Cricetulus griseus: one gene and its partners. The protein of the gene in region 1 interacts with the protein of each later gene in a pairwise test. Links are inferred from orthologs where the notes say so. Each region holds a gene or a part of one and is shown in the gene's direction. Other genes may lie near its edges. The genes, in order: Trim63, Gmeb1, Pdhb, Tnni2, Myoz1, Usp13 and Pkm.

The links.
Region 2: the proteins of Trim63 (region 1) and Gmeb1 interact in a two-hybrid assay, tested with the Homo sapiens proteins (2 studies listed by BioGRID and IntAct). The link is inferred for Cricetulus griseus from reciprocal best matches to the Homo sapiens genes TRIM63 and GMEB1.
Region 3: the proteins of Trim63 (region 1) and Pdhb interact in a two-hybrid assay, tested with the Homo sapiens proteins (2 studies listed by BioGRID). The link is inferred for Cricetulus griseus from reciprocal best matches to the Homo sapiens genes TRIM63 and PDHB.
Region 4: the proteins of Trim63 (region 1) and Tnni2 interact in a two-hybrid assay, tested with the Homo sapiens proteins (2 studies listed by BioGRID and IntAct). The link is inferred for Cricetulus griseus from reciprocal best matches to the Homo sapiens genes TRIM63 and TNNI2.
Region 5: the proteins of Trim63 (region 1) and Myoz1 interact in a two-hybrid assay, tested with the Homo sapiens proteins (2 studies listed by BioGRID and IntAct). The link is inferred for Cricetulus griseus from reciprocal best matches to the Homo sapiens genes TRIM63 and MYOZ1.
Region 6: the proteins of Trim63 (region 1) and Usp13 interact in a two-hybrid assay, tested with the Homo sapiens proteins (2 studies listed by BioGRID and IntAct). The link is inferred for Cricetulus griseus from reciprocal best matches to the Homo sapiens genes TRIM63 and USP13.
Region 7: the proteins of Trim63 (region 1) and Pkm interact in a two-hybrid assay, tested with the Homo sapiens proteins (3 studies listed by BioGRID and IntAct). The link is inferred for Cricetulus griseus from reciprocal best matches to the Homo sapiens genes TRIM63 and PKM.

Annotation. Positions count from the first base shown.
Region 1 is NC_048595.1:18,970,593-18,974,092, reverse strand, and holds part of Trim63 (E3 ubiquitin-protein ligase TRIM63), read left to right. Parts: intron 1-1,660; coding exon 1,661-1,829; intron 1,830-2,723; coding exon 2,724-2,819; intron 2,820-3,500. UniProt on the Homo sapiens protein: E3 ubiquitin ligase. Mediates the ubiquitination and subsequent proteasomal degradation of CKM, GMEB1 and HIBADH.
Region 2 is NC_048595.1:21,003,194-21,006,693, forward strand, and holds part of Gmeb1 (glucocorticoid modulatory element-binding protein 1), read left to right. Parts: intron 1-2,144; coding exon 2,145-2,248; intron 2,249-3,500. UniProt on the Homo sapiens protein: Trans-acting factor that binds to glucocorticoid modulatory elements (GME) present in the TAT (tyrosine aminotransferase) promoter and increases sensitivity to low concentrations of glucocorticoids. Also binds to the transferrin receptor promoter.
Region 3 is NW_023276807.1:76,097,053-76,101,124, reverse strand, and holds the start of Pdhb (pyruvate dehydrogenase E1 component subunit beta, mitochondrial), read left to right. Parts: upstream 1-1,272; 5' UTR 1,273-1,357; coding exon 1,358-1,399; intron 1,400-1,471; coding exon 1,472-1,525; intron 1,526-3,227; coding exon 3,228-3,335; intron 3,336-3,428; coding exon 3,429-3,491; intron 3,492-3,581; coding exon 3,582-3,617; intron 3,618-3,908; coding exon 3,909-4,072. UniProt on the Homo sapiens protein: The pyruvate dehydrogenase complex catalyzes the overall conversion of pyruvate to acetyl-CoA and CO(2), and thereby links the glycolytic pathway to the tricarboxylic cycle.
Region 4 is NC_048596.1:58,818,272-58,822,505, reverse strand, and holds the start of Tnni2 (troponin I, fast skeletal muscle), read left to right. Parts: upstream 1-1,434; coding exon 1,435-1,453; intron 1,454-1,683; coding exon 1,684-1,775; intron 1,776-3,956; coding exon 3,957-3,998; intron 3,999-4,087; coding exon 4,088-4,216; intron 4,217-4,234. Other genes in the region: Syt8 (synaptotagmin-8), read left to right, coding at 1-103, 178-345, 476-581, 682-815, 898-1,131. UniProt on the Homo sapiens protein: Troponin I is the inhibitory subunit of troponin, the thin filament regulatory complex which confers calcium-sensitivity to striated muscle actomyosin ATPase activity.
Region 5 is NW_023276807.1:200,330,513-200,334,614, forward strand, and holds the start of Myoz1 (myozenin-1), read left to right. Parts: upstream 1-1,302; coding exon 1,303-1,375; intron 1,376-2,418; coding exon 2,419-2,597; intron 2,598-4,102. UniProt on the Homo sapiens protein: Myozenins may serve as intracellular binding proteins involved in linking Z-disk proteins such as alpha-actinin, gamma-filamin, TCAP/telethonin, LDB3/ZASP and localizing calcineurin signaling to the sarcomere.
Region 6 is NW_023276806.1:116,475,463-116,478,962, reverse strand, and holds part of Usp13 (ubiquitin carboxyl-terminal hydrolase 13), read left to right. Parts: intron 1-321; coding exon 322-444; intron 445-973; coding exon 974-1,000; intron 1,001-1,760; coding exon 1,761-1,904; intron 1,905-3,500. UniProt on the Homo sapiens protein: Deubiquitinase that mediates deubiquitination of target proteins such as BECN1, MITF, SKP2 and USP10 and is involved in various processes such as autophagy, endoplasmic reticulum-associated degradation (ERAD), cell cycle progression or DNA damage response.
Region 7 is NC_048597.1:171,224,136-171,226,527, forward strand, and holds the end of Pkm (pyruvate kinase PKM), read left to right. Parts: intron 1-549; coding exon 550-731; intron 732-1,241; coding exon 1,242-1,348; 3' UTR 1,349-1,892; downstream 1,893-2,392. UniProt on the Homo sapiens protein: Catalyzes the final rate-limiting step of glycolysis by mediating the transfer of a phosphoryl group from phosphoenolpyruvate (PEP) to ADP, generating ATP.

The DNA of each region.
Region 1 (3,500 bases):
TTGGGACAGCTCTGAGAGACACTGAGGCTTGAAGAGTAAGATCACACAAATCAAGCAAGTGTTTGACCCCGATACCTGACCGCCAGGGAGGGAGGGAGTTTCAACAGCAGGTCTGCTCCATCTTGTTTTACACCCTGGGGCAGAGCAGCAGGTGGCACCGGGGAAACCCCCACCATCACAGCCACCTCAGTATGAGGTCCCTGAGCTCAAAGATGAAAACAAAGCCAAAACCAAAAACCAGCCTGGATAGGGGCTCCTGGAGGGGGCAGTGAAGTCTGGGGTGCTACAGCCATGCAGGGCTGCTGGGAGGTGAGACATTGATACTGATGGGGACAGTCAGTTTGAGGTTTAGGAGATGCTTACATGTTAGGGGCTGGCATCAGAGGTAGTGTAGACATGGCTGCTTACCCTGAATGGAGCCAAGTTCTGTCTCACTTGGGAGGTAAAACCTTGACTAAAACCCGAGTAGATGCTGGGAAAGACTGATGCTAGAGAGGAGCATGCCAGGCACCCTAAGCAGAAAAAGCAATAAAGGGAGAAAGGTCCTAGGACAGCAGGAAGAAACACTTAGGCCAGCAAGATGGCTCAGTGGGTAAAGGTGCTTGCCGCCAAGCCGTCAACCCGAGTTCTACCCTCAGGACCCATATGGTAGAAGGAGAGAACAAACTCCTTCAAGCTGTCCTCGGACCTCCATCGTGTGACGTGGTGCAAACATTTACCCCAGCATACACGCATAGTCAATAAAGGCATTTTTAAAAATAAAAAAGAAGACGGGCAGTGGTGGCTCACTCCTTTAGTCCCAGCACTCGGGAGGCAGAAGCAGGAGGATCTCTGTGAGTTTGAGAACAGTCTGGTCTACAAGAGCTAGTTCCAGGATAGGCTCCAAAGCTACAAAGAAACCCTGTCTTGAAATATATATATATATATATATATATATATATATATTAGATATATATGGGCCCCATGAGGTCAAGCTTTGCACGGGGCTGCTACACAGCCCTGCCCCCAACCATGTGCTGTTTGTCTGGCTTAGGGTGTACATACTGTCCCCTTCTCCTAACCCTCGGACACCCTCAGGATGTGTTTACTCGTGTATTCTTCCTCCTTGCATTTCATTTCCACGGTCTCCACGCCAGGTACTGTACGTTATAGACGCAGGGGAGAAAAACAAGCAGGCTTCCCAGCCTAGTTGAAGGCTATGGTCTGATAGATTAAATATAGACATAAGGGTTGCCATCAAAATAAGTTGCCCAGGCCCAGCAACCAAGAGCTATGGGGCTATAATTAGAGCAAAGGCGTTCTAACCTCCTCTGCCTCTGTGCTGGGCGACCTTGGGCAAGTCTGTTCATTTTCTGGGACTCTGTTGCCTCTTCCTTAAGGTCAGCATCTTCTGGTCTGACTCTAGAATTCCGGGGCCCTCCCCGGGCTCCCTGTACCAACTCAGGCCAGCCCTAATGCTGGAGTCTGAGTTTAGGTGTCATTAGCCAGGTTTGGTGTCATTAGCCTCCCTGATCTTGGGCTCCCAGAAGATAAAACAAAGACTGTTTGGAGCAGGTACACACTGGGAACTGGCATGTGGATGTGGTGGCTTCCTGTTCTTGGATTTAGCAAGGGACAGTTAGAGGGGACATCCCTAACTTGTGGTTCTTCTCCCCCTCAGTCGGCCCCTGCAGAAAGGCAGCCACCCGATGTGCAAGGAGCACGAGGATGAGAAAATCAACATCTACTGCCTCACGTGTGAGGTGCCTACTTGCTCCCTGTGCAAGGTGTTCGGGGCCCACCAGGCCTGTGAGGTAGCCCCGCTGCAAAACATCTTCCAGGGACAGAAGGTATTGACTACAAACACTGTGCCCAGATGGATTTGACCCTTGTGGATGTGCTGAGCCGGCCTTTCAGGAATAGTCCCTCTGGAGGGACTTCCCAGGCCACAGGGACAGCAGCCGTTGCCTCCCTGGGGGAGGTGGCTGAGCTCATGGGTTATACTTAGAGCTACTTGAGAACACCTGGGTGTGGCCATAGGGAAGAGGCCAGACCCCAGGGACAGGCCACCAGGCCCTTCCAGGCCATGGCTTCCCCTCCTGTGTACTCTGGGGTCCCATACCTCTCCACTTGGGCCTCTCATGTAGCACAAGGCAAAGTCGAGGTTCTTCCCTGGGCCCCTGGCAACCCCAGCATGGTGTCTGTAGTAAGCTGTAGCCCTTCCTGAACTCTGTTCTCCACATGCCACTTGGCTCTTGGACTTTTGTCTTCTAGAACTTTCCAATCCTATTCCTTTTCTCAGAAATTAGCAGCCAGGGGGTATGACAGACAGCACAGGCCTTTAAGCATAGCACTCATGAGGCAGAGGCAGGTGGATCTCTATGAATTTGAGGCCAACCTGGTCTACATAGTAAGTTCTGGGCCAGCATAGTAAGACCCCAGCTCAGAAAAGAAGAAGAAGAAGAAGAAGAAGAAGAAGAAGAAGAAGAAGAAGAAGAAGAAGAAGAAGAAGAAGAAAGTTTTCTTCTGTTCCTTTGTCAGTATCTTGCTGTGTGTTCTGGGGTGCTCAGTTTCTCTCTCTGGGTCTCATCCGTCCATAAAGGATATAGCATCTGTATTAGTCTCTACTTTAGACCTTAACTGCACCCCAGAAGGAGGGATAGCAACCCTATTGGTGACTCTGTCAGAGAAGCAGCCGGCTCTGAATCTATTTCTGTCTCTCCTCTCTCACCCCTCCCATTCAGACTGAACTGAGTAACTGCATCTCCATGCTGGTGGCAGGGAATGACCGAGTGCAGACTATCATTTCTCAGCTGGAGGACTCCTGCCGAGTGACAAAGGTGAGGGTGCTGAGTGGCCCTGTCAGCGCTGAGGCAGAGTGGACACCTCAAGTGCAGCTGGTCTCTGGGAAAGGCCTAAGTTGTGAGTTTAGGTTGGGGTTTAGGGCCTTGGGTGTCCAATATAGATGGCAGAAAAAGGGCACAGCCATTCCCCCACTCACTTGGCAAATAGTTCATGAACATAGCAGTTATGTCAGACCCTGCCCAAGGTCAAGCCAGACCCAATTGGTCCCTGACTGCAGGGACCCACCAACTCCCTGAATGTCTCTAGCATCAATCATTTTGCTGCAGAGCAAGGTTCCTGGACCTTTAAAAGTTCACTTGACCCTGGAGCCTGTGGAAACTCAGGTTCTGATTCGGTAGATCAGGAATGAAATGGGATTCCACACTTCTTCATTTATTATTATTTTTTAATGTATATGGGTGGTTTTGTTGTTGTTGTTGGTTTTGGTTTTTCAAGACAGTGTTTCTCTGTAGCTTTGGAGCCTGTCCTGGAACTTGCCCTGTAGGCCAGCCTGGGACTCAGAGATCTACCTGCCTCTGCCTCCTCAGCGCTGAGATTAAAGGCGTGCACCACCACAGCCCAGCCAGGTGTTTTGCCATGTGTGTGAGTGCCTGAGGAGGCCAGAAGAGGGAGTTGGATCCCCCAGAACTGGAGTTACATGTGGTTTTGAGCCACCA
Region 2 (3,500 bases), about 2.0 Mb from region 1:
AGAGACAGGTTAGGTAATCTTGGTAGTAGGTGTCTGAGTTGTAAACATCTGGGAGGAGGAAGCTGCAATTTCTAGTCTGTGCTCACACTGATCAGTTAGTTATTCATAAGCACTTGTACTTGGATTTGTGAGCCTGGGCAGTATGAGTAAAGGTTTTGCCAAATGCCCCATGGTCTGAGGCTTTGGTCTTTCTCCGCATGGCTGTACCCATGTCAAAATACATATCCCCAGCCAGGCATAGTGGTGCATACCTTTAATTCCAAGGCTTGACAGGCAGAGACAAGGCCAGCCTGGTCTAGTTCCAGAACGGCCAGGGCTACATAGTGAGACCCTGTCTTGAAACAACAAAAGTAGACATTCCCTTAGGACTTCACTCACTCAGGGCTTGCCACTTCCAATAGGCAGCAGATACCTTTATCTACTGAGCCATTTTGCTGTCCCCACAGCTGTTGTCTTATGCTGTCACAGTAGAAAGTAAGGATTTTGAAATAAAATGAGCCTGGCTCTACTTCCAAAGGAGCATGTGCAAGAGAGCATTGTCTGTTTTCACCAAGATAAACCTGGGACATTATATGATGCCTTGGTGGTGGGGGCAGGGCCTTGTGCATGACAAGGGTTGTCCCTGTATGGTACTGTTTGTATAATAGTGTTTGATAGTTACTTGCAACAAGTAAATGAATAAATGGCTAGAACCCTTCTCTACCTCTGTCTAGCCATGTGATTTTGAGCAAGTTATTTAGTAATATTTCAGAGCCTTGCTGGCCATTGTGGTATATACCATTAACCTCAGCCCTTTAATCCTAGCAAAGACAGGCAGATCTCTAAATTTGAGGCCCACCTGGTCTATGAAGTAAGTTCCAGGACAGCTGGGGCTACACAAAGAAACCCTGTCTCAGAAAAAAAAAAAAAAAAAATTGGAGCCTTATGTATTAAAATAGTAACATTCCCACTGATACGCATACATGTAAATGTACACACACATTTATACAGCACATGTACTATGATGTATTGAATGAGATCATATATGTAACATGCGTTGAACTGGTATGCATCATAATAGGCTTTATTCAGAATTGTTGATGATAAGAATAAGTAGGGTGTAGTAGGTCATGCCTGTAATCCCAGAATGGAGGCAATAGGATTGATTTAAGTTTGAGGCCAAGAGGTGATACAGTGTGAGACCCTGTCTCATAATACCCAAAAGGTATGGTGATTTATGCCTTTAATGACAGAACTTGAAAGCAGAGGCAGGTGAATCTCTGTGAATTCAGGGCCAATCTGGTCTACACACAAGGAGTCTTAGATCAGCCAGGGCTATGTGGTGAAACCCTGCCCCCCAAAAAACAAACAAACAAACACAAGCAAATAAGAAATCTCATGAGAACCAGGCATAGTGGTACACACCTTTAATACTAGCACTTGGGAGGCAGAGGCAAGCAGAGTGAGTTCAAGGCCGGCCTGGTCAGAGCTACACAGTGAGACCCTGTCTCAAGTTTAAAAAAAAAAAAAAAAAGAATCTCCTCGATGGGTGGTCCTGGTGCACACTTTAGTCCCAGCACTCAGGAGGCAGAGACAGCTGGATCTCTGTGAGTTTGAGGCCGGCCTGATCTATAGAGTTAGTTCTAGGACAGTCTCCAAAGCTACACGGAGAAACCCTGTCTTGAAAAGAAAAAAAAAAAAAAAGAGTGCTGGAACTACAGATGCAGTTCACAGATTGTCCTTTTTTAGGTGATTTCTGGGATTGAAGTCAGTCTGTAGTCTTGCACAATTAGCACTTTTAAAGTTGAGTTATCTCCATGCGCATCTGTCTTTAACACTAGAATTCTTCAGTTACTTGACCAGTCCCTGGAACACTAGACCCAGCCCCCACTTCAGAATATAATGGATCAGAGTATAAATGGATGTGTAGATGCTATGTAGCATGTTTATCTCTCACCCTCGTCCTCTATAACTCTGTCCTAGGAAAGGACAGGCACTCAGAGAGGGATAATGTTTGGTACCATAGGACGGGGTTGGGTGACACTGATAGGGCTTGTAATAGTGTCTGGGGTTTTGTGTATAGCAAGTGGCATTATTTCATTCTTCCCTTGCTGACCTACCTAAGTTGACACTGGACCAATTTGGATTTTTCTTTTTTGCTTTAGTTCAATGATCAATTGATCAGCCCCAAGCATTTTGTTCATCTGGCTGGCAAGTCCACTCTGAAGGACTGGAAGAGAGCCATTCGTCTAGGTGGCATCATGCTCAGGTAAGTGCCAGTGACAATCACAAGCATCTCAGTGAAGCGCTTAGTCAGGGTAGAATCTCCCACACTATTTGACCTTCATTGACCTGTCCTTAATCTTTTTTTTTTTTTTTTTTTTGCTTTGTGATACTAGGGATGGAATCCAGGGCTTTGTGCGTGCTACGTAAGCAGTCTACCACTGAATTATACACTGTAACCTCTAACTATTAAATCAACTAATTAACTCTCTCCAGCATCTAATTTAGATTTTTCATTTTTCTTTTTAGTTTTGTGAGTCTCTTTTAGTTCCATTTAGCCCACAACTTGCTGTGTAGCCAAGGCTGACACCAGCATGCCTGGCTTAGGGTGCTGATGTCAGGAGTTTAAACAGGATCCTTTCTTGGCTTAGAAGCTCCAAGTTGCTGATAGTCCTCCCTGTCATCCTTACATCAAGAAAGCAAAGCTGGGTGCTGAGTAAGTGCAATAGCCATGACTGACAGTAGAAGACCACTGCTGAGAAATGCCAGGCATAGTGTTTGCAGTCTTTGCATCACTGTCTAACAGAAACAGATGTCAGCCTATGGGATAGCCCCTACCACGACATTTATTTTCCTCCAACAAGTTTACCATTGTGGTTTTCCCTCTTGAATGCATTAGTTAGTATGCCTTGAATGTTCCCTTGCTGAAAATTTAAATGTAAAGCATGGGGCTGGAGAGATGACTCAGCTGTTAGGAGTGCTGGCTGTCCTACCAGAGGTTCTGGGTTCAGTTTCCAGCACCCACATGGTGGCTCTCAATGCTCTGTAATTCTAGTTCCAGGGGAATCCAACACCCTCTTGTAGCCTTCACAGAAATCAGATGTGTACATAGTACACAGACATGCATGTAGGCAAAGCATTTATTTATTTTTTATATTATGTGCATTGGTGTTTTGTCATGGCTGCCAGGTTTCCTGGAACTGGAGTCACAGACAGTTGTGAGCTACCATGTGGGTGCTGGGAATTGAACCCAGGTCCTCTGGAAGATCAGTCAGTCTTAATAGCTGAGCCATCTTTCCAGCCCCCTAAAAAACAAAAATTTTAAGGTCAAGAATTAGAAGTGTCCAACCAGGTGTGGTGGCACCTTTAATCCCAGCACATAGGAGGCAGAGGCAGGAGGATCTATGTTTAAGGTAAAGCTGGACTACATGACCAGTCTACTCTACATAAAGAAATCCTGTGTGGAAAATAACACAGACAAGTGGCTGCTTCCATTGGGCAGGATTTCTCAGTGGTGG
Region 3 (4,072 bases), on another chromosome or scaffold:
GAATACAGAAAATAAAGACCACATCCAAGCAGCTATTCCCAAATGTCTATCTCTAGCCCTACCAAGTCTTTAGGCTTCAGACTTCTCCCATTTGGGTATTGAGAGAAAGAAAGAAAAAGGACACGACTGCTCCTAGGTATGGTGAATAACGTTTATTATGGATATGTGGGAGAGCATAGCCAGAGGCAGAGACACCTGGGAGAGTTCAGAGTGGACGTGACCAGGCTGAGCTGAGCCATGTGAGGAGAGGAGGGGAAATGGGAGCCAGGTGTTTCAGTAAGGTAAAAAAGGGCCGGTAATCAAAATGTCTGGATTATATAGGAAAGAGCCTCTGGGGGTTAGGGCACCTCAGACCTTGGGCTGGAAAGTTCAGGGTACAGGGTAGGGTATGCCAGACATACAAGTCATTCCAAGGAACTGAAGGATGCTGGGAGGACCTGGCAGCCAGGCCCACTTTGATATGTTAAATAGGCGAACCACGGGCCGTTTGTCTCACATTTGAGTCGTAGGTTTGCCATCTAAATTCAGCATGATCAGAACAATTTCCTCACATCTTCATGCCTAAGTGCAGATAAAAATAACAGCAACCACCTACAATCACTTATGAAGTACACATCACAATGCTTGGCACACAGTGGACGCAAGGCTTACATGAAAGCTATTGTTTATAGTCAATGGACCGCGCCCATCCATACAAAGGCGAGGGCTCTCCTCCCAGATGTCTCAGCCTCTGGTTATGCTCTCCCATATATCTGTATAATAAACTTTCTCCTTCACCGTACCGAGGAGCCGTCATGTCCATGCCTTTCCTTTTTATTTAGTTCTCCTCCACGGGACTGTGGGCAAGAGCCACCCACGCGGTACTCAAGGCCCGCAGTGTCTGCGGAGGGGTGGCCTTAAGGCCCCTCCATCCTCGGTCAGGCCTCATTGCCAGTCTCAGCACCTGGGCGGGCAGGCAGGCAGCAGCCAGGGGCGTGTGCACCGCGTGCTAGCAGCTGCAGCCGGCTGTCTGCTAAACGTTCTCGGGTGCGTGCGCCGGGTCAGAAAAGATCAGCTGCTCCACGCCACCTCCGCCGGCTCCCGCCTGCCCAGGTGGGCGGGACTCGCACACGTCGCCCCCTCTCGTTGGCCACGCTCGCAGAGGCCTTTGCTAGCCCGAGGGGCGGGACCCTTTGGCATTGCGCCTTGCTATTGGCTTGCTCAGGAGGGCCGGGCCCTCAGTCGTCACTCTCCATTGGCTTCGGCTGACGGGTTAGGGCGGGCCCTGAGCTCGCCACGCCCCACCGTTGGTTGCGCCAGGCCCGGTCTGCGGAGCTTCTGTGTTGTCATTAGGCCGCCAGTAGAGGACACGGGCAAGATGGCGACGCTGGCCGGCGTGCTGCGGGGACCCTGGCGGCAGGTAGGTGGCGGCCCCCGCACGCCCGCGGCAGGCCCCGGGCCCTCCCTGAACCTCTTTCTCTCTCCCGGCCAGGTGTCTGGACTTGTGAAGCGGCGTTTTCACCGCTCGGCGCCCGCGGCACTGCAGGTAACCGTCTCCGACCCTGAGCAAGGCCGGGAGGGAGTCCTCGGTCCTGGGCGCGGGCGGGAGGTGGAAGGGTGGCGTCGCCGACCCTGGCAGCGGCTGAGCCCTGCGAATGAACCGCACTTTGTGTCCCCGCCCGGCGCCTCTCAAGCTGACACCCGTCCCCCGCGAGGCCGGAGGTCGTCTAACAAGCAGCCAGCGCTTTCCCTGACCCCCCCCCCACACACACACACACATACACCCGAAGTTGTGGTAAAAATACAACTTTAAAACCTTTGGTTAAGCCGGGCGTTGGTGGCGTATGCCTTTAACCCCAGTTCTCGGGAGGCAGAGGCAGGTGGATCTCTGTGAGTTCGAGACCAGCCTGATCTACAAGAGCTAGTTCCAGGACAGGCTCCAAAACAATACAGGGAAAACCTGTCTCGAAAAACCGAAAAAGAAAAAAAACAAAAACAAAAACAACAACAAAAAGAAAAAACCTTAGGTTAAAATGTCAAGTTCAGCGGCATCGACTGCGGTCGTCATATACACTGTCCATTTCTTAGTAGTTTTTTTGATTACCGGCTGTTACACGATAACTCACACTACTCTGCTATTCTAGACCATTTTGTATTTTTCTTGCTCAGGAAGGCCGGACCCTTAGTCCTTAGTTTGCTGGCTCTAGAATGTTATATGAGTTGGATCGTTTGCTCTTTTGTGTCTGGCTTATTTAACTTCTCACAGTAGCTTCAAGGTTCATCCATATTGTGAAATTCATACATCAGAATTTGTTCCTTTGAGAGGTTGAGTCATAGCCTTTGCACATCGTATACATTTATTCAAGGATGAGTATTTGGCTTGTTCCCACCTTTTGGGTTTGTAATGGTGCTGAGAACATCGGCTGCAGATACATGCTTGAGTCCCTGCTTTCAGTTCTTTGGCATAAGTATATTTAGAAGTGGAGGACTTAACCTTTCTACATATTAAAGCAGCAGCTCCTGCATTGTGGATGTCAAGTGTTGGGCACTAGTGAGTGCTTAATGCTTAGACTTAGATTTCCTTGCTAGTTCTCTGCCTCTTAGTATTCCAAGTGTAGTGACAGAAACAACTTAGCATGTTTTCTCCTTAGGAAACTGCCTGTGACACAGTTTAGGGTTCCATCAGTGTGTTGTTGTTGCCTGGGTGTGCATCAAATGGTACAACCAGTGTTCTGTAAGTTTTCATTAACATCTAGTGAAGGATTAGTGGTAGAGTGTTACTTTTTAAGTTCTTGGAAGTTTAATTTGACTTTTTTGTTGTTGTTTGTTTTCGAGACAGGGTTTCTCTTTGTAGCTTTGGCTCCTATCCTGGTAGTCGCTCTGGAGACGAGGCTGGCCTCGAACTCACATAGATCCGCCTGACTCTGCCTCCCGAGTGCTGGGATTAAAGGCGTGCGCCACCAACGCCTGGCTTGGAATTTTAATTTGTATGATACGCATTTATCTATGCACTTGAGGTCAACTTCCAGGGAATCAGTTTCCTCCTTCCATAATGTGTGACTGGGATCAAACTCATCAGACTTGGCCATCTTGCCTCCTCAGATTCTTGGAACTTTAAAGGGAATTGCCTGCTTGAGTGTTAATTATGTTTTGTCTTGTGGGCAGCCTAGGTAAGTATAAGGAAGGGAATTTCCATAGTATCTAAATAATCCTTTAGCTTATTTCCTGTTTATATACCCCTATGCCAGTTGACAGTTCGAGAAGCTATTAATCAAGGTATGGATGAAGAACTAGAAAGAGATGAAAAGGTATTTCTGCTTGGTGAAGAAGTTGCCCAGTATGATGGTGCATATAAGGTAACTGAAATAGGTAAACTTGATATAGAATTAAAAAGTACCCATTTGCCCTGATAAGCACTTGTAAGTCATGGGGTTAAATTCTAATTGTAGGTTAGCAGAGGCCTATGGAAAAAATACGGTGACAAGAGGATCATAGATACTCCCATATCAGAGGTACGCTTTCCAGACCAGCTTTGAGAATCGAGTTGAGTATTCAGTTTTAATTTCTGTGGATGTTTTCTTACGTTGCTGTTTGCTTTACAGATGGGCTTTGCTGGAATTGCTGTTGGTGCAGCTATGGTATGTACTATTATTTATGAAGGTCATCTAAGGAGATTTCCTTTAATACTATCTTCTGAAAATGTTGTTTGAGCTGGACATGGTGGCACTCACCTTTAACCTAACCCCAGCACTTGGGAAGCAGAGGATAGCCAGGACTACATAGAGAAATCCTGTTTTAAAAAACCAACAAAAAAAAAAAAAAGAAAAAGAAAGAAAATATTGTTTGTAATACTGGAAAAGTGGAGTGGTTATTCAGCACTCTTGCTTGTTCTGTTTAGTCTTTTTAACATTGATGTTTCTACTTGACAGGCTGGGTTGCGGCCTATCTGTGAATTTATGACCTTCAACTTCTCTATGCAAGCCATTGACCAGGTTATAAACTCAGCTGCTAAGACTTACTACATGTCTGCTGGCCTCCAGCCTGTGCCCATAGTATTCAGGGGGCCCAATGGTGCCTCAGCAGGTGTAGCTGC
Region 4 (4,234 bases), on another chromosome or scaffold:
CTACGCCCGCATCAGTGTTTCCACCCAGGCTGGGAGAAGACACGAGACAAAAGTGCATCGTGGGACTCTCTGTCCCATGTTTGAAGAGACATGCTGCTTCCTGGTAAGTCTAACCTGTGTAGGTAGAGCGGTCTAGGGCCAGAGCAGCGGGACTCAGCTCACGGCCCTGCCTTGCAGGTCCCACCAGCAGAGCTGCCCAGGGCTACCCTGAAGGTGCAACTGTTGGACTTCAAGCGGTTCTCAGAACACGAGCTACTAGGGGAGCTTCAGCTATCCCTGAGCACTGTAGACCCTCTTCATGTCCTGGAGAGCTGGTACCTGCTGGGCCCTCCAGGTACCACTGAGGTGAGCCTGGCTGGCAGGGGCCTGCCTGTGCCATGGGGGTGGCCAAGGCCTGGGTGCTGTAACTGCTGAGCCCAAAACCCCAAGGGCAAAGATGACCCTCCCAGCGGCGGCCATGCCTTGTTACCCATAGCTTGAGCAGATGGGGGAGCTGTGCTTCTCACTGCGCTACGTGCCCAGCTCAGGCCGTCTGACTGTGGTTGTGCTGGAGGCTCGGGGCCTGAATCCAGGGCTTGTAGGTAAGAACTATATTGGGGTGGTCAGAGGGCTGGGCCCTTGTGCTCAACCTTCCCATGCGCATGTATCAGACACCTTTCTTGACCTCTCTTGTTCATGCAGAGCCCTATGTGAAGGTCCAGCTCATGTTAAACCAGAGAAAATGGAAGAAGAGGAAAACATCCTCTAAGAAGGGCACAACTATGCCCTACTTCAACGAGGCCTTCACTTTCCTGGTTCCCTTTAGCCAGCTCCAGGTGGGGAGCAGGAGGAAGGGTGGAGTGGCCTGGGACGTTGTGCTGGGCCAAACTGATAACCTTTTCCCTTCTATGTCTGCAGAGTGTGGACCTGGTGCTGGCTGTCTGGGCCCATGGCCTGCATCACCGGGCTGAGCCTATAGGCAAGGTTTTGCTGGGTCCCAGGGCTTCAGGACAACCTCTACAGCACTGGGCAGATATGTTGGCCCATGCCAGACGGCCTATCGCCCAGTGGCACCACCTGCAGTCCCCCAGGGAGGTGGACCGTGCTCTGGCCCTGAAGCCTCACCTGCCCCTACCTAGGCCTCACTCCTAAAAGAACTGTAGGCTTCAGTTTCCCCAAATGGAGCTGTGGGCATTTGTCCAGGCTCTTCCAAGCTTTCTGAAATAAAGGTCTTTTTTTTCCCACTCATGTGCCCTGATAGAGCCCTGTGAGGAGGACCTGAGGCACAAGGTGGGCTACATCTTGGCACCACTGGCCTCTCAAGGGTGAGGTAGGGTGCTCTGGACAGATTTGCCAGTACTGAACCTCTGCTTAAGGCCTGATTATTAGGTCTTCCTGGGGAAGATGGCATCTCTCTCTGCCATCCAGGGTTGGCAGAGGAGCAGGGGATTAGAGATGGCCCTGTGGGGACAAGGTGGGCAACTGGTGGGGGGAGTTGTGGGTAGGGACAGTGTGGGGAAGAGACCCCAACATCATGAGGTATGGAGACATAGGGTGTCCTCTGTGCTATCAGCAGGGGGCAGTAGATGCCTTCGGAAGCTGCTCTGGGGCCTTTGGGGGCGCGCAGTCCTGGCCTGTGATATACCTCTTAATCCCAGCACATCTGGCCGGCTTTAGCAGTTCCAACCCTCCCCTGATCCTCAGGGGCCCCAGAGCAGCAGGGCTGGGGCCAAGCCATGATCTGGGTGTCTCTGGGTGGGGTTCAGGAGCGGGAAAGGGGTGAGGGCCTGGCCCTAGTGAGCGGGGCAATGCAGGGCCTGCCTAGGCAACCAAGGGCCCTGAGCCCCCATAGGTCAGAGAGAGGTTTCTAGGGCGGTGGCACCACTCTCTGGGGTTGAAGGACATGTTCCAAGTTGCCTGTGCAGAGAGATAGACACCCGTGGGCAGGGTGTGTGGCAGGCTGGGAGAGGCCCAGCTACTGGTCCAGGGGCCTATTTGTTCCTCTCCCTGAGCAGAAAGGCAAGTTCACTACAAGGGGTGGGCATCTCTCTCCTGAGCCTTGACACAGGGCCAGAGAGACTGTTTTGTTGTTTTGTTTTTGTTTGCTTGCTTTTGGGGATGGGTCCAATTTTGCAGGAGGACTGAAGTGGTGAACAGTCAGCCCAGGAGCCCAAACATGGAGTGAGTGACCAGATAGGTGCTGAGTTACAAGGCCATTTGACAGTGACTCCAGTTTAGTCCACTTGTTAGGTCAAGTTTCCCTTGGAGGAAGACTTCAATGGATGCTTGAACCGGGTGGGTACCCTGGAGACCCACATGCAGTGTGACTCTTGCTGTCCTGAGGGTTCTTGCAGGAACAAGGTGGCATCTTGAACTGGTCACTGAGACATAAATAGAGCAAACCAACCCCCACCCCCACCCCAAGACTTCTTGGACAGGCCAGCGCCTGGGCTGGCTGGCCAGCAGGCTGGGCAGGTGGGGAGGCTCTCCTCCTCTCTGTGCCCCCATTGGTCTGAGGAGACTCCATGCCCTTTCTGAGCAGGGGCCCGGCCCAGGGAAATCCATTTATACCCCTCCCCCTGGCCCACCAGCCCAGCTTACTGCTGCCTGCCTGACCTCGCTCCCAGCCCTGCTGCACAGACTCTAGGTGAGGCCTGGCCCATCTTCTTGAAGCTGGAGAATAGGGCACTACTCAGGCTAGCTCGCAGGAGGACTTCCCTGGGCAGGGACTTGGGGGTCTGGGGTCTGCTGCCAACAGCTCTCTCTGGGGGTTCCCACAGATCTGGGATAAAAAAGCAACAGGTGCTGGTAGGATGGGACAGGGGTCTTCAGTGGGCCTCTGATGACAGGCACTGACTCTGGGGACACACAAGCAAGAGAACGTTCAGGTCAAGCAAGCGGGGACCTGAGCCCCCAGGCCACACAGGAGAGCTCTTTCTTCCATGTATCTACTTCTCCAGCCAAAGAAGCAAGAGTTAAAAATAACAGGCTCACCCTGGCAGCCACCTGTGCTGGCCAGCCCCACCCCTCCCTCGGGGACAGCTGCAGCTCCTCAGGCCCCGCCTGGGACATTTTGGGAACACTTTCTCCTCTTACTTCTCACCCTCAGGGTGGGGGTGGGGGATGTCCTCTAAATCCTTGCCCTTTGAGAAGGTCTGAGTTGAGGGTAGAGCAGAATTGGACTAGTGAGTGAGCACAGGTCTCCATGCCTGGCCTCATGCAAGACGGACACTGACGTCTTCCCCGCTCTCTCCCCACAGGCTCAGAGCTCGAGAACTCAGGATGGGGGAGTAAGTGGTACCCAGTGTGACACCCCCACACACACTGCAGTCCCCTCACCAGGGCTCGGGTCCCATATCCCCCTACCTTCCGTGGCTAACACCTACCCCTTCAACCCCACCTACCCCAAGGTTCCATGGCTACTCCCATGAGCCACAACCTAACTTCTCTTTTCTCTCCCCCTCCCGCCTCCCTCTTTCTCCTGGGACAGTGAGGAGGTGAGTACCATTCAGGCTATAATGGTTCCCTGAGACTAAGTCAGAAGACACACCTGTCAAGGTCCTCAAGTGCCCCGCCCCCTGAGCTACCCCAGAGAGAAAGGAAGTGCCTGCCTGGTGCCCAGTGAGAGGGAAGTGAGACTCAGGCTCAATCACAATGGAATCACTTCTCCTTTCTGATTTCTGTTCACCATTCACCTCCCAGGCCTCCCCTTGCCCACAGCCTCTAAGCTCTGGCCACACCCCTCCCCATTCCCAAACCCCATTACCCCCTTCAAGCTTATGTGCCACCTAAGCGAAGTGTCAGGACCACAGGCATGAGTCCCTGAAGCAGGCTCTGGACTGGGGAAAAATAACAGGGTCCTGGGCAGTGGCCCTGAAGCCTCTTTGGGAGCCCTGTTGTCAGATGGGGCTTCAAGGAGGTCAGTGTTCTAGCCAAGGCCTGACTCTGTCCTCTCTGTCCTGCCCTGTCCTGTTCAGAAACGCAACAGGGCCATCACAGCCCGGAGACAGCACCTGAAGGTAGGGATGGGCTGCTGCAGAGAGCTGGGGGTACAGAGGTGGGGGTGGGAGTCACTGCAGACCCTTACTCTCACCATTCTGCTTCTCAGAGTGTGATGCTCCAGATTGCGGCCACAGAACTGGAAAAAGAGGAAAGCCGCCGTGAATCTGAGAAACAGAACTACCTGTCAGAGCACTGCCCACCTCTGCATATCCCAGGCTCCATGTCTGAAGTGCAGGTAGTCCCTTCTTGCCAC
Region 5 (4,102 bases), on another chromosome or scaffold:
CCTCTTTGTCTGTGATTGTGATCCTTCATCCTAGGGGAGTGGCCTCTCTCCTCATCTCTGCCCAGCTCTCAGCTGTCCAGTTGGAGCCACAGAGTTGGAAACAAATGGACCTAAGGAGTTGGGTGGAATTAAGATGGGTGGGGAGGTACCCGAGGAATGGGAAGGGGGGGCTGAGACCCTGGGAGGTTGGTAGAGTGTATCTGTACTTCTGAGACAAGACTCCACAGAAAACTGCATGAGCGTTAAGGACAAATTGAAGTTCATGTTTTTCCCTAGCTTGTCGCCATCCACAGCCAAATCTTATTACTATGTTTCTGTCCCCTCACAATTCTCTACTGTTATATATGATATCGCTGAACTGACATCTGTCAGTGCTCAGATGCCCTCAGTTCACTCTCCACCCCAGCTCTGCAGCTTGGGATAGGAGTGCCTGAAGGAACAAGGAACACACCCATGACCTCTCAGGCCAAGTTCCAGTTGGCCTCCTGGCAGAACAACAACCTCTCCTTCCTATGGAGACTGTCTTGGCTGAATCTCCTTAACACCAGCAGAGCATTTCTTTACCCCTTGGACCTTGAGGGAAGCCTGAGGAGGAGACCAGAGTCTGGAGCCATAGCTGTAGGCTGATACCCCAATACAAATAATCGCTTTAAATCATGCCAGGCCAAGAAACCTGGGTGCACTGCCCTGCCAGGGTTGTTGTCTTTGAAACAGCTCTCGCCTCCCCCCCCACAGGATCTATGGAAAATGGGCACTGGAGGATGGTAAGAGGTAGGGAAAAGGGGGCAGCTCTGCCTCCTGTTCTGATTCCAAAGAAAACAAGTCCTAAGACAGCGGAGTTTTACCATTTGGGAGGAATACACACTTCTGTGAAAACCTGAGAGTTGGATGGCATACCTTAGTGGTAGAGAACCTGCGTGGCATAATGAAGCCTTGAATTCAATCCTCAGCACTGGAGAAACACACACACACACACACACACACACACACACACACACACACACACACACACACACTCCGAAGAAACTTTGTTCTTAACCCCAAGTTAAGGAGTACTGAAGCTTCGAGGTGGTGGCACATGCCAACTTGGGAGGCAGAGGCAGATTGGGCAAGGAGGGTAGGAGCTTGGTTTGAGGATCTCTTGAGTTTGAGGCTAGCCTGGTCTACACAGCCAGTTCCAGGACACAGGACAGTCAGGGCTACACAGAGAAACCCTGTCTCAAAAAAAAAAAAAAATTAAGAAAAAGAAGATTCTTCTTCAAGCCTGCTTCCCACTCCTTCCAGGTCAAGTCCATTTCCATCATGCCGCTCTCGGGAACCCCGGCCCCTAACAAGAGGAGGAAACCCAGCAAACTGATCATGGAGCTCACCGGAGGTAGGGCATGCTTGTAGCTCCCTAGTGCCTGACTTTTAAGAGCACCCATGACTCGGGAGTCCCAGAAATTACATAAGACTGGATATAAGTCAGAGTGAAAATACAGGAGGAATTCCAGCCACGGAAGGTGTGGGAGACAGAAGTGATGGGAGGGGTAAGAAGGGCAAGGAGAGAGAAGCAGGAAGAATTCCACATTTACTCTGCATCCTCCACCCTTGCCACTGGTTATTCTGAGACAGCACCCAGCTACACTACTCAGCCAGGCCCAGGGCCACAGGACACAAGCTAGACCTCACCAAATGGTTAACTTCCTTATTTCTTTCTAAGTGCTAGAGAACTTGTGTAAGCATTTAAAATAGGAAACTGGGCAGGCATACTCCCCAGGGATGTAAACGAGTTACCAGGTGTGAAGTTCTCCTGATACTTCTGGAGCCAGAGTTCACTGAATCAAAAAGAAAAAAAATAAGGATCTGTATTTAGAGAGGGGCAACTGCACATGATATTGGACTATCAGCTTCCTCCCAAGCTATAATTTCTCCAGTGACCTCTGTCTACAATATTCCCTTACACTTGTTCTCTTCCACTCCAAGCCCATATTCTTTGTAGCCCTGTTTACTTCTCTACTCTAGTACTCCGACTGTATATGCCCTGAACCCTTGTTCCTGTGTATTCTCTCTAACTCCAAACCAGGAAATCAAGACTTCTCATGGAGTGTGATGATGGCCTATGCCTTTAATCCCAGTGATCAGGGGGCAGAGGCAGGCTGATTTGTGAGTTCAATGCCAACCTGGTCTAACAGTGAATTCTGGGCCACTCTGGGTTACATAGTGAAACCCTGGACCCCCCCTCTCTCTCTTAAAATATTTAAAAGATACACAAATGAGACAAAAACCTCTCATAAACTAGGCAGAACTTGGTCAGATCACAGAATTTTGCCTCTAAATGATCTCTTTGACTATACACTCAGCTATGGGTGGAGGTTCTTCTCTGAGTCCAGAAAGCCTTAATTTCCTCTATCGCCCCTTCTCCACCTCCTGGACAAGGTGGACGGGAGAACTCAGGCCTGAACCTGGGCAAGAAGATCAGTGTCCCAAGGGATGTGATGTTGGAGGAGCTGTCATTACTTACCAACCGAGGCTCCAAGATGTTCAAGCTGCGGCAGATGAGGGTGGAGAAATTTATCTATGAGAACCACCCGGATGTTTTCTCTGACAGCTCAATGGTGAGTATGGATGTGACCAACTCTCTCACAGCCCAGTGCCTTTTCTGACAGCCTCTCAGCGGGCCCTAAGTTCCCCAAATACCACCCACTTCCTCTCCATGAGAAATGATAAGTTCATTAAGTCCCGTACATGTATTACATTCCCAGCAGCTCTAGGGTGGGTTGCAGCCCATTTCTGAATCTTAGTCCTCATCTTAGAGCCAGTGCAGGCTGAGGAGTACCACACCCAGAGGAAAATTCCTTCCCAGTGTGGGTAAGTGTTAAAATAGGGTTGCCAGATAAAACACGGGACACCCGTCCTGTATTTTGAAGTTAAGATACACAATGAATATTTTCTTTTAGTGAAGTATGTTCTTTGTAATATTGGGACATAAAAATAAAACAAGCATCAAAAACTACAGAATCTCGGGGCTGACTGTATAGTTGAGTGGCAGAGCAGGTGCTTAGAATGCATGGAACCCTAGGTTTCATTTCCATTGCTCCCAATGAAGACATCAAGACATTGAGACACCAAAGGTCAAACAGAGTATCCAGTTACATTTGACCTCCAAGTCTACACAATGAGCTGGACCACTGAGGAGGCTGAGGAAGATTGCTTATGAGTTGGCTAAGTTTTTACAGCGAACACCTGTCTTTTTTTCTTTTTTCTGTAAATATGTTGCCTGTAACATGTAACATTTTAGACATACAATATAAGAAGCCTGGCGTTGGTGACGGCTTTTAATCCCAGCACTTGGGAGGCAGAGGAAGGCAGATCTCTGTGAGTCCGAGGCCAGCCTGGTCTCCAGAGCGAGTGCCAGGATAGGCTCCAAAGCTACACAGAGAAACCCTGTCTGGAAAAAAAAAAAAAAAAACCCAAAAAAACAAACAAAAAAACCAAAAAAACAAAAACAAAAACAAAAAACAATATAAGATTTGAATAATACATTTTTGTTTGTTTTGTTTTTCGAGACAGGGTTTCTCTGTGTAGCTTTGGAGCCTGTCCTGGCACTTGCTTTGTAGACCAGTGGCCTCGAACTCACAGAGCTCTGCTTGCTTCTGTCTTCTGAGTGCTGGGTGTGTTACATTTTAAATTTAAATACATAACAAATACTTTCTTAATGTAAACTTGTCCCATTAAATACTTAGGGCATATTTATACTAAAAATATTGTTCTATACCTGAACATAAAATGTAAGTAGTAGTGTGTAATTTTGTTTGTTAAATCTGGCAATGTTAGGAGAGTCTAATAAGTTTCTATAGCCATCTTCCTTTTGAATAAATCTTTTTTTAAGGTTCAGTCTCTTCTTTAAGGGTGCCTAACAGGGAACTAAACCCTCTTTCTCTAAGACAACATATGTTCCAGGCAGGCTTCTCCAAAGAAAGAGGAGGAGGATGGGAGAGAGGTCAGGCACAGGACGTTACAGCCAAGGAGGAGGGGACCAGTTCCATTTCCTCTCTTCCTCCTCCACCTCCTCTGGGTGGCTGGGACAGTGGAAATAGATGCCTACATGGATATGGCCAAG
Region 6 (3,500 bases), on another chromosome or scaffold:
CAGAAGTCTAAATTTTAAATTTAAATCATGTCCATATTTTAAGAAACACAAAATGGAATGAGTCCAGACCACAGATAGCCTGGTTGCTAGTCTGTGAACACTGGCTTATCTGACCTATTGCTGTCCAGTGTGATGCCTTTGTCCCACCACTCTCTGCCCTTTCCCTGAGCCCTCCATTAACTTTCATGTGGCTTGACAAATCTGCTGTGCTCTGTGTCCCTTAGGCTGCCAAGATACATGCATGCAGTGAACACATGCAGATTTATAATGAGCTGATTTGGGCTCTAGAGAGTCCAGTGAATATAATCTTTTGTTTTGCAGATGTTTCTATTGATATGCCAGACCTACTAGATATCAGCCATCTTAGAGCCAGGGGCTTACAGCCAGGAGAAGAGGAGCTTCCAGACATCAGTCCCCCTATAGTCATTCCTGATGACTCAAAAGGTACCATTTCCTACTGGAAGGATACTCTTTCCTTACCACCCTCTTCCAGCCAGGAGGAGTTACTGTTTCACCATTAAACTGCTCCCTGTCTTTGACCTAGACACATAGGAATGAAGCATGGCTGCAACTGTATACTTCAGACTCATACACTATGAGTCATTGATTTGGGCCCTGGTGGCAGAGGCTCCTGAAAGGGCTTACAGACAGGTAGTGGTGAGCAGTAGGGAAGCCAGGATGGCTTTTCATACTTCCCCTATAAATCATGTCCAGGCCAGAAACCTTGCTCTTGGAAATAAATGCAAGGATTGAAATTATTTATCTCACTGAGATGTCAAAACTTCTTGTTTTATTTGCCCAAAATCTGCTGTTTCCCCTCATTACTGTAATTAATGAACTGTTTTGCAGGTAGTGTGTGTGGGGTAACCAGGAGTGAGAGGGTCTGGGAATATCCTGGACTGATGCAGTTTCTTTTTTCTAAAACTATTGGTGGTGGCTAGCTCTTATTTATCATCTGTTCTTTCATTTCCAGATCGCCTGATGAACCAGTTGATAGACCGTAGGTATCTTTAAAAGTGTTTTTTGGTGTCTTACAGTTGTTGCTAGTATGATATGTTTTAAAGATTTGTTCATTTTTATTTATACATATGGGTGTCTTGCCTGTGTGCATGTCTGTGTACCATGTGAATGCCTGATGCCCACAGAGGCCAGAAAAGGGTGTCAGATTCCCTGAAACTAGGGTTAGAGAGGGTTGTGAGCCACCATATGAGTGCTAGGAACAGAAAAAACCTGGGGCCTCTGGAAGAGTAGTAAGTGCTCTTAACTTCTGAGCCATCTCTTCAGCTCATAGTGTAACTTTTTTTTTTTTTTTTAAGTAGTAGTTCAGCAAAGTAGCATTGTTCTGTCCTGGATATATGTGGTTGTTCCTGGGTGGAACTGTCTGTAAGTTGAGTAAGCAACAAATGTAGACCAATGAAATGCTGCTTAAGTATCCCTTATTGCTCAGGAGGATTAGTGTAGGCTTGAAAGCTTGCAGTCCTGTGGGGTTTTGCTGCTTAGGACTGTGTGGCCTGGAACAATTTGTTTCTTATTCTATAGGCCTCAATTACCTCATTTGTAAACTGAGGTAATAATACCATTTTTTTTCTCATGAATAGCTCAATAGTTAGATGACATAAAAAGAAGTCAAATTAAGACCCAACAAAATGGATCTGTCTTCAGGTAGTCTGTAGATTAGATAAGGGGTTGAAGAGTAATGAAGACAGGAGGAAGTGGAAAATTCTGTTTTTCATGGTGGGATATCCTGCTGTGCTCTGTAGCCTCAGACATTGATGAATCCTCCGTGATGCAGCTGGCTGAGATGGGCTTTCCTTTGGAAGCCTGCCGGAAGGCTGTGTACTTCACTGGAAACACTGGAGCTGAGGTGGCCTTCAACTGGATTATCGTGCACATGGAGGAACCTGGTAGGTGGCCATATGGGAGTACTTTGGAGTTCATGTCCCCAAGGATGTGTCCCCAAAGATGAGTTTTCAGATGGTAACATGCTACTGTTTGGGCAAAGTCACAATCTTAATCTCTTAAACAACAGCTTTCTTGGAATAACTTCCTCCTTAAAGGTGTCCACACTTCGTTGACCAAAAGATCATTAGAAAGATGTGGTGTTTATTTTAAGCTTGAAATAGAAAACTGAAGAAATGGAGGCCCTTTCCTCAGCTTCTTCTTTTGTCTACTTTCTGAAGATGTCATTTATATATCCACCTATCAGAAGTGTACATTCACATGGATTTTAGTCACTTTACAATTAAGCAACTGTCTAATTCTAGAATATTTTTGTATAACAAAAGAAATGCTAGATAGGAGGTATCTTGGTGGTTTGATTGTAATTGGCCCCCATAATCTCATAGGGAGTGGCACTATTAGAAGGTGTGGCTTTGTTGGTGGAAGTATGTCACTATCTGGGTGGGCTCTGAGGTTTCCTATGCTCAGGAAGCTGCCCAGTGGCTCAGTCTACTTCTGTTGCCTGTAAGATACAGCACTTTCAGTTCTGGTACTGTGTCTGCCTGATTGCCTCCATGTTCCACCATGATGATAATGGACCGAATCCCTGGAACTATAAGCAAGCCACCCCAATTAAATGTTCTCTTTATAAGAGTTGCTGAGGTCATGGTGTCTCTTCATAGCAATAGAAACCCTAATTAAGACACTGCCTCTCCCATGTTCTTACTCTCTCCAGTGCTTAATCTTCACTAATCTACTTTCTGGGTACCCTACAATTGTTATGAATTTGCCTATTTTTGATAATTCATATGAATGGAATTGTACAACATGAGGCCTTTTGTGTCAGGTTTCTACCGCTTTTCATAATGTATTTAGGGGTCTTATGCTGTAGCATGAACAGCACTTCCCTTTTATGGCCATGTAGTGTTCCATGTATAGCCATACCACAGTCTGCCCTTTTATCAGAGGATGACAGTCATTTGGGTTTTTTCTGCTCTTTGGTGTTTATTAATGGGGCTGTAAACATAAACTTTTGTGCATATATAGATTTATGATTTTGTTTCTCTTGAGCAGAATTGATGTAGTTCTATATTTAACTTTTTAAAAATTGTCAATTTTACCCAGTGGCTGAACCATTTCATACTCTTACCCATGATGAATGAAGGATTCAATTTCTCTGAATTCTCACCATTAGCAGTTTTGTTATAGTGGCTTCTGGGTGTACCATGGTGGTCACTGTGATTTCAAGAGGTATTTCCCTACTGACTAATAACACTGTGGGTATAATTAGTTCTTTGCCTTTTATTGTTAAGTTCTAAGAGTTCTTTTTAAATTTTAGATACAGGTTTCCTCTCAGACACATTTTTTTTTTCTTTTTTGGTTTTTCAAGACAGGTTTCTCTGTGTAGCTTTGGAGCCTATCCTGTCACTCGCTCTGTAGACCAAGGTGGCCTCAAATTCACAGAGATCCACCTGCCTCTGCCTCCTAAGTGTTGTCAGACACATAATTTGCAGAGATATTTTTCTGTTCTATGTCTTCACTTCTTTGATGATGTCTTTCAA
Region 7 (2,392 bases), on another chromosome or scaffold:
CACCTGCTAGAAGTAGACATTATCACTTGTCACAGGTAGTTTTGAGAAGGGGGGGTCACTACATTCCCAAAGGTTCTAGATGGGCTAAGCATTGCTATATAATGCCTGGTCACTGTCCGGATTTTGTGGCACCAAGTGTGTTTTGGGCTCTAGAGTTAGGCTTCTGGGACTGCCATGGGAACAGCATACTACTGCAGTCCTTAATATTGTTGGCTCCCAGGAGCTAGGTGTATGCTGCTTGGTTGTAAATGTTGCTAGCAGTTGTGGATGCTGGTGAGATTGGCCAAAGCTGTCTCCCTGCTACATGGAAGGGTTCATGATATGGGAGGGATTCTAGCCATGGGCCCTGAGGGACTGCTGCTCCTATTGAAGGAGCAGTTAAGAAAGGACAGAGGACAGGATGTGGGGGGTGGCCAGTCCTTGGAACAGAGTAAGCTCTCAGTGGGCAAGGCCTGTGCCTCACTTGTGTTAGTGAGCTCCTGCTGAAGGTGCTTCCTGTCTCCTGGGTCTTGTGACACGTTTCATAGTCTATCCTATTTCCCATCTCAGGAGTGCTCACCAGGTGGCCAGGTACCGCCCACGTGCTCCCATCATTGCTGTGACTCGAAATCCCCAGACAGCTCGTCAGGCCCATCTGTACCGTGGCATCTTCCCTGTGCTGTGTAAGGATGCGGTACAGGATGCCTGGGCTGAGGATGTAGACCTCCGTGTGAATTTGGCCATGAATGTTGGTATGTAGCTGGAAGCAAGAAGATGGGGTGCTGAGCAATGGCTTTTCTGGGAATTCTGAAACTGTCATTCTCTGAAGACTTGGGCTAAGCCTTTTTGTCCACACCCTCCCAATTTGGGGCCCAAGGCAAAATTAAGGTGGGACACACAGATTATGTACTGCTGCTATAGCCTTTGTTCCTCTATAAGGTTGGACATTGGGATGGGAGGAGGCCGCTGGCTCTGTGATCTCCAAAGGTCCCTACAGTCTTGAGTTCAGCCATTGTTTGGTCTAGGAGGCTTGCACCACCTTGTGGTAGAAAGAAGAATTGGTTCAGGCAGACTGGTCCCCTTATCATAGGCAATGGGATTGTAGGTAGCTCTTTGGGCATTTGCCCTGGAATGCCCATGCCTGGGTGGCCTCTGGGCTAGGAGGGAAGTGCCACCTTGTGGTAGGAGAGAGTAATGGTTGTTCAATTTGGGGCAGTTACCCCAAGTGTTTACTTCTATTCACAACCTTTCTATTCTTTCAGGCAAGGCCCGAGGCTTCTTCAAGACGGGGGATGTGGTCATTGTACTGACTGGGTGGCGCCCTGGCTCTGGCTACACCAACACCATGCGTGTCGTGCCTGTGCCTTGATGGCCCTCTGGAGCCCCTCTTCTAGCCCCTGTCCCATCCCCTCCCCCATCCCATCCATTAGGCCAGCAACGCTTGTAGTGCTCACTCTGGGCCATACTGTGGCGCTGGTGGGCTGGGACACCCGGGAAAATTTACTGGCTTTGAAACATGGACTAGAGCCCAGCTGTCTCTCATGGCCCTACCCAAGCTAGGGATGAAGGAGGAATGCAGAATTGTAAACCCTCTGCCTTTATCACAAAAGGGCAGCAACACCTCTGTGTGTTTTGCTCCTGTAGAAAGTTGCCCAGAGAACTCCCAGCCCTGGGAGACAGCAAGAGTGTAGGGGCTTAGGACATGGGGCCCAGGTCCCTGTGTGTAGATAACCCTTGACCCTGGGCCTGATTTGCTTCCCCAACAGCTTTGGCCTCCCCCACTCCTCCTTGTGCACTCCACTCAGCTGTGGCTGCAGACACACACTCCACTCGCCACCTTCTGTTCGACGGCAGCATCCCCAGGCCTGTTGCTATAGTGCCCACCTGAATGTCAATAAACAGCAGCTGAAGCACCTGTGTCCTGTTCTTTTCTGCTGGGGGAAGTGGTTGAGCCCTGCCCTCTGAGCAGGTGAACAGCCTTGGGCCTGGGCCTGGCCTTGGGTGCTATAACTCCACCAGGTCACCGGCAGGGCATAGGACAACTGGAAAAGCAGCTGAATGGTACATATATAGGCTGAATATATAAATCGCTTCTTCCAGCACCTGGGCTGTGTTGGAAAGCACACTATTCTGTTGAGGCAAAGGCATGAATGACCAGAGAAAGTCCAACTTAGACCTACAATGGTTCCTATACTCAAGGAGTTAGGTGACCCTGGTGCTGGTAGGCTGGCCCCTGTAGTAGATAGCCTTTTAGGGTGCTGTGGGATGTCTCTACTTGACACCTGAAATCCTCAGGATTTCAGGGTCCTCTCTGGAATAAAGTACAACAGGAGCAGGTAGGACCTTCCTTAGCTCCTGGTCACTGCTAAGAGCTAAAACTATCCAGTGGGGGTATGTACGGAGGCCTGAGAAA